Linked DNA regions of Drosophila melanogaster. The protein of the gene in region 1 interacts with the protein of each later gene in a pairwise test. Each region holds a gene or a part of one and is shown on either strand. Other genes may lie near its edges.

What was found.
Region 2: the proteins of CG7352 (region 1) and beag interact in a two-hybrid assay, tested with the Drosophila melanogaster proteins (one large-scale study listed by BioGRID).

What each region holds. Positions count from the first base shown.
Region 1 is NT_033777.3:8,345,684-8,349,439, forward strand, and holds CG7352 (uncharacterized protein), read left to right. Parts: upstream 1-2,035; 5' UTR 2,036-2,080; coding exon 2,081-2,941; intron 2,942-2,995; coding exon 2,996-3,535; 3' UTR 3,536-3,613; downstream 3,614-3,756. Other genes in the region: DppIII (dipeptidyl aminopeptidase III), read left to right, coding at 1-1,671.
Region 2 is NT_033777.3:9,063,375-9,067,130, reverse strand, and holds the start of beag (beag), read left to right. Parts: upstream 1-2,052; 5' UTR 2,053-2,141; coding exon 2,142-3,725; intron 3,726-3,756. Other genes in the region: Ada (adenosine deaminase), read right to left, coding at 879-1,892.

The sequences.
Region 1 (3,756 bases):
GGAATCACCACCTACTGGTCGGATAACTGCACCAAGGAGGACTCCGAGATCGTGAACGCTTGGCTGACCTCAAAGCGTATCGAACCGTACATGTGCCGGACCTTCAAGATAGTTGAAAATGGTCAAACCGTCTACGATGTAAAGCTGGGCTCCGTGGCGGAGTCCACGCAGGACGGCATCACACTTCCGCTGGAAGAGTATAATGGCAACAAGTTTAGGGTGACACGCGGTGATTACCAGAAGCTGCTTCAGCGCGTCAACCAGCATCTGCTGCAGGCCCAGAAATACGCAGCCAATGAAAACGAGTCCAAGATGATCGAGCACTATGTCCGATCCTTTGAACAGGGCTCGCTGGACGAGCACAAGAACGGATCGCGTTGGTGGATCAAGGACAAGGGACCTGTCATCGAGACCTACATTGGTTTCATTGAGACATACAGGGATCCTGCTGGAGGTCGGGCTGAATTCGAGGGCTTCGTGGCCATGGTGAACAAGGAGAGCTCGGCCAAATTCTCCGAGCTGGTGAACCGCGCCGAGAAACTAATAGAGTACCTGCCCTGGACGGAGCCTTACGAGAAGGACTCTTACCTGAAGCCAGACTTCACATCCCTGGATGTCCTCACATTTGCCGGCAGCGGAGTACCAGCGGGCATCAATATTCCCAATTACGACGAAATCCGCCAGGATGAAGGCTTCAAGAACGTCTCGCTGGGCAATGTGCTGGCCAACATCAACCGCAAGGATCCCATTCCTTTCCTCACCGAGGAGGATCAAACTCTGATGAAAGAGTACAAGGTGAAGGCTTTTGAGGTGCAAGTGGGCCTCCATGAACTCCTAGGCCATGGTAGTGGCAAGCTATTCCGCATCGACGAAAATGGTGTGTACAACTTTGACAAGGAGAACACTAAGAACCTGGTCACCGGTGAACCCATCACCAAGTGGTATCTTCCTGGAGAAACTTACGACACCAAGTTCGGAGCAATTGGTTCCTCGTACGAGGAATGCCGCGCCGAGGCGGTGGGCTTGTATCTCTCCCTGCAGCGTGACATCCTGGAGATCTTTGGCTTCAAGGACAAAGCCGAGCAGGACAACATCATCTATGTCAACTGGCTGAGTCTCATCTGGAACGGCATGGGTGTGGCTCTGGAAATGTTCAACCCGAAGTCCAAGCTGTGGCTCCAGGCGCACTCTCGCGCTCGTTTCGTGATCATGAAGGTGCTGCTGGAGGCAGGCGAAGGACTCGTTAAGGTCGAGGAAACCGAAAAGGGTAAAAACCTTTTGCTGACGGTGGATCGCAGCAAGATCGATACCGTGGGCAGGAAGGCGCTGGGCGATTTCCTGACCAAGCTGCAGGTGTACAAATCCACCGCCGACATCGAGGCAGCTTCCAAGATGTACGAACACTACTCGAAGGTCGACGAGAGCGGATCGCATCCGTGGGCCAAGTGGCGGGATATCTGCCTGGCGCACAAGAAGCCGCGTATGATTCTCGTCCAGGCCAACACGGCGATCGGCCAGGACCAAAAGGTCCAGCTGAAGACCTACGAGCCCACCCACGAGGGGTACATCCAGTCATGGGTGGAGCGCTACCCCAACACTGACATCGACGATCTTCTGGAGAGCATCGTGGAGAAGGACAAGAAGTATTTCCCGACTGCCTTCAACAACTGAGAACATTTCGCATTTAACATTTTCGCCTTCATTATCAATTCAATTTGTTAACTATGATTTTGAAAAAAAATATATAAAAATATATATAGTCATCTAATGACCAACAATTTTAAATTTTAAATTGCTTTTATAGTAAAACTTTCGTAGTGAATGGTGATTTTAAGATCGTTTTTGCCATTCACCGAAAATATTGACAAAGGACCTGAATTTAATTGCTTGTATGTACATACATATATTGCGACCAAATGTATATTGCTCATAATAGCTCCACAATTAAGAATGTAAATATAAAATCAAATACTACAATTTGTTCATTGAATGTTTTCATAGTAGCCAGTCGATAAATATTGGTTTTTTTTTTTTTATTTTGTTTCTCGTTTCCATTTCTGTTTGCATTGTTTTGACCACCATGGCAACCGGTAGAAATCGTGGTAACCACAAGGAAGGTGGCACTATCAACATCGGACAGCCGCTATTCCAGGTGCCTCATTCATTGCGCAAGGAGCACGACTTTTTCAGCTCACAGCTGTTCCGAAAATTGCAGTACGACCTGGAGGAGGTGAGCCGCAGCCAGGAGCTTTCCAAAGTGAGTCCCATAACCCGCGACTTCATCGAGGAGGCAGCGATGACGCAGGAAATGCAAGATCTTAAGCGTGCGGAGTTTGTGGAGAGGAAACGTCGCCAGCAATTGCGGCGGGATTGCGAGGAACTGCGCGACTTGGCGGAGCAGCTGCGCCTAGCCGCCATTTCCAGGGATATAGCCGAGAATTTGGAGGAGAAAAAACGTCGTCGACAGCTAGACATCAAATTGGAAGCCGCGGAAGTGTCCCAAGAGCGCTGTCTGCTGGAGGTCAGGCAACGTGAGAAGGAAGTGGCTCTTAAGGAGGAACAACGCCGCCTTAGGGAGTCCTTGGCTGAACAAATGGAGGAGAACCGCCGACGGCGCCTGCAAGAGCACGCTCAGGTGATGAATGACCGGGAGCTGAGCCTTCTGATGCAGAAGCAAATCCAGGAAGAGGATCGAGCCCAGGAGCTGGAGGCGCAGAGAAAAAAACTACAAAAGCGACAGGACATGCTGCGGTCCATCAAGGAGAACCAGGAACTCAGAGAATGGCAGCGAGCTCAATACAACCAGGAGTTGAGTGACTTAGTCCAGAAGCAAAGTGACATGGAGCGCAGGAAACTCCAGCTGGAGGCTGAACGCCAGGAGATTCAACGCAAAAAACAAGAAATCAGCATTCGTTTGGGCCAGCAAGTCCTAGAAATCGAAGTAAGTCTTGAAGCGGTTTTTCGATTCAATCAATAAAGCTAACTCTTATTGCAGAACAAAAAACGGCATCGCGACAATCTGCTGCTGGATCTGTTGGAGGCGGAGTACACGGCCAAGAGTGACGAGCGCTATCGCCAACAGATGCAGCAGGAGCAGATGTCTCGCCAGCGCACCAGACAGGAGTTGGATCGCTATCGACAGGAGGTGAAGCATCGTAAGATGGCCGAAATGCAGATGAAGCGGGCGGAGATGGCTACGCGGCAGGAGGAGGCGCCGGATACAATCAACCAGAATTCCGAAAAGCAACTGGATGAATATCGCAGACGCCGGGCCCATGGAGCCTCCTTGCTTGCTATGATTGAGGATAATCACCGGAAGCGGGCGGAGGCCACCGCTGAAAATGTTCAGTACTTTGACATGAAGGCCAAGATCGATGCCGAGCAAGAGGAACGCATCAAACAGGAGCGTTTGGCCATGTTGAGCCAGGTTCCTTCCTCCGTGCTTCGATATCTACCAAAGCATGTCCTTAAGTCTACGGATAGGGAGCATTTCTGCCTAATTGACGCTCAGGCACGGGGCGGTGGCGATTCCTAGTCAGTGGCATAGTTCCAAATTGTAATTCTAAGACGGTCAAGTTTATTTTTGGCTTCCAAAAATAAATTATTTAAAATTAAGCGCCGTTGTGTCTACGTGACGTGTATCATTTAGGCTAGCGAAGATGCCAGACCGTCGCCTGTGCTGCCAGTTCGTTGTTTTGCTCGATTGGAAACCTCGATTGAAAGGATATTCTCACAGAATGCGCATCTGCTGTTTCA
Region 2 (3,756 bases), 720 kb from region 1:
AATTATACATACTTAAAAGCAAGAATACTAAAACCCTATGCCCGAACTCCTAAATAAAGTCGAATACAACAGCAAAATCCATACCATACCATTTTCAACTAGTAGAATTTTTCCAAAGTGTAGAAATGTAAACCTTTATATAAATATATAGATTTGTAATTGAACTCTCTAGTTGAGGTAAAAACACTTCTATACAATATAAATAAACTCCCAAGTCGGTCGTTTCTTGAAGCTCGACATTTGGAATGAACTGGATAAAGTAGTAAAACTCATGTAGAAACACAGCAGTAAGCTAAAACCAAACTAAAAGTATAAAATATAGATAAACTGTATATAGGGAATACCAGGCAGGCAAACCACTTCAACTGAAAGCTAATCTGCAGGCTTGGGTAGGTGGAGGGTCCGACTATAAAGATGTCTTCACCCAAAAAGTTTGTTTCAAAATGTGCTATTAAACTACAGATTTCGATCATTTAAGTCTTACTTTGGTTTCCTTAGATTTCGATCGTCCACTTCACTTGGTGCAGTTTAAGAGCCCACTATTGACCAAAGCTTGTACTCCATTGTATTTTGAATGCCTACCCCCAAACTAAGCCACACAGAACGGCAGAAACGAGAACATAAAGTAATGAACAGAAAACTTGAATTCAATTATGAATGATATTAAATGAGAAAAACATAAAAACTTATTAGCCACATATGTACGTACGAAGGATGAACATAACTAATGAACAAACTTGTAACTAAATACTTCTACATATTGAATAAAAAGAATGATATTAAAAGGTAAAATTTTTGACAAATAAGAATCAGGTTGGTACATATATGGTGTTACATACAAAAACTTATTTATTTCAATTAGGGCAGTGACAGTTTTTTTATTTGACCAATATGTCTGCGTAGTTCCCCACCCTATCCGCCATCTGTATTTGCTCCTGTTCGCTGGCGAATGAATGATGCACTGCCTCCAAGGTCAAATCGATGCATTGTTCACGGGTTAGACCGAAAGTTTCCGCAGCAATCAGAAACTCCTTTGTCAAAGTGGTATCAAAAACGCCACTGTCGTCCGTGCAGATAACCTTGGGTGCATCTGCCTCCATGATTCTTTTCAAGTGGTGCTCCTCCAAGCTGGGCACTGTTCCCGACTTAACATTACTAGTGAGGCAGCATTCAATGGCAATATTTCGTTGTTTAAGCTGCCCAATGTCCTCGGGAGTAAGAAAAGTTCCATGTCCACAGCGGGACATTCCAAAGTGCAGCATTTCCTTTACCTCCGATGGATTCTCGATCTCGGCGCAGTGTATAGCTAACTTCAGACCCTTATCCCGGGCCTGTGCAAGAATAGGAGCAAAGTCGGAAAACCGCCCCTTCCCTGGATTACCGCTAAGATCGATGCCTAAGATAAGATTTGGATGAGCCCGTGCCAACTCCACAGCCAGGGAAACTGTTTCCTCAGCCACGTCCACTGGTTCCGCTCGATTGATGGAGGGCAGTAGCTTGACTGTTATCTCTGGATACGTTTCGCTAGCTGCCTTAATTGCATCGATCACGATCTGCAGGTAGTCCCTGCGTGAATAGTTCTCGTTTGCCTTAGGAGTGGTCCTCATTTCCACATACTGGACGTTGTCCTCAGCGAAATCTCGAATCGCCAACTCCGTGGCAAATCGCAGACCCTCCCGGGTGGAGGTCAACTCGTGCACAAATGCAAACTTCTCGAAGCATGCATCCATATCCTTTTCAAATCGGCTGAAGTGCGCGCACAACTTCAGGAAATCTTTACAAGAGGTTCCATACAATCGCTCGCCAAGATCACATAGGCTTTTGATGCCCAAGGAACCGTTGAGGTGAGCATGGAGCTCTACTTTGGGCAGACCTTTAAGAAACTGCTCCATTTGTAGTTTAACAATAATAACAATACATTATGAGAAACAGTGATGCTAAATGTGGAATCGATTTTCAAATATTCGTAATTATTCGGAAAAAACGCTAAAAACGCTAATCTTCCATCACTGTAAACATGTTATCGATTACAGTACGGAGAAAAATCAAAAACACAGCCAACCCTGGCAGGCAAAACCAAGAAGAAGCACAATTTGTAAATATAGATTTTCTCTGCGAGTTTTCTTCGAATTTTCTTCGCCATGTCGGATGCCCACTTGGAAGCACCGCCTTCGGTGCGACTAACCAACGATGACTTCCGCAAGCTGCTAGCGACGCCCCGAGCTCCTCCTCCTGGCTCCGGGACGAGCAGCACCTCCGCTGGAGGATCTCTGGCCACTGCTACCTTTGCCACGCCCTCCACCGCCCCCGGCACGACAGGATTGAGTGGCGAAAAGAAGAAGGGTCAGAGCAGCAGCGAGCGGAATGATCTGCGTCGCAAGAAAAAGAACTTCTATGCGGCGCTCAAGAAGCAGGAGGATGTGAAGCTGCAAGAGCTGTCCGAGAAGTACAGGGACCGAGCACGAGAACGACGCGATGGTGCCAATCCAGATTACGTGAACGTGAGCACGCCGGGACACGGAAGCAGCACCAATGCGTATCGAGCTGTAGCGCCAGATATGAAATCCGGAATCGATGCCCAGGAGCGAAGAAGACGTATCATTCAGGAGTCCAAGTTCTTGGGTGGAGACATCCAGCATACGCATTTGGTGAAGGGTCTTGATTACGCCCTTCTGCAAAAAGTGCGCTCCGAGCTGCACTCGAAGGAAGCGGAAGAGGAGGAGATTGCCGCCGCTGTGGCAAGGGAAAAGCTCGCCGAAGCAGCTGCCGCCGCTGAGCAATTGGAAGCGGAACGCCGCGAGTCGGAGGATATTAATGCAATCAATGGTGCACTAGCGCGCAATATTTACAATCTAGTGCAGGCAAGGCGTTCGAAAGAAGTTCCCCGCAATGAGCTATTTGCTCCAGGACGGATGGCCTATGTGATCGACCTGGATGACGAGCTAGGGGAGTCGGATATTCCAACCACACTGAAGCGCTCCAAGTTCGAGGTGCCGGTGTCACAAGAGGATGTTGCCACGCTGACCACCAATGACATTGTGATCAACAAGCTGTCCCAAATCCTGAGCTATCTACGTGCCGGTGGTCGCAACAAGAAGAACAAAAAGCGCGACAAGGACAAACCGCTGTTCTACGAAAAGGAGGTGGAAAATCTTCGTGGGTCGTCTAGCAATGGTGGCTCCAGTCGGCACGCCACCTCGTCCTCATCGAACATGGGAGGGAAATCAGCTCCCTTGGGCGATAATATCTACGACGATATAGGGGACTACCAACCTTCTGCCACGCGACCTGAGCGAAACCGCCAGGAGCAAGGCAAGTCCGCCCCGTCCTACTTTGGAGACGGCCCGCCGGAGGCATCAGAGGAGCCGATAATATCCAGTATTCCCCCGCCACCCAAGATATCGAAGGCCATGGCCGCACGGTTCGCTGAACCCGAGGGATACGCAGAATGCTATCCCGGGCTGGAGGAGATGAACGACGCCATCGACGACTCGGACGATGAGGTGGATTACACCAAGATGGATTTGGGCAATAAAAAGGGGCCCATTGGACGCTGGGACTTTGACACGCAGGAGGAGTACTCCGACTACATGAGCACGAAGGAGGCGCTGCCCAAGGCAGCCTTCCAGTACGGGGTCAAGATGCAGGACGGTCGCAAGACGCGCAAGAACAAGACGGAGAAGAACGAGAAGGCCGAGCTCGATAGGGAGTGGCAAAAGATTCAGGTATGTATATCCCAAAGGATTCGTCGATGAT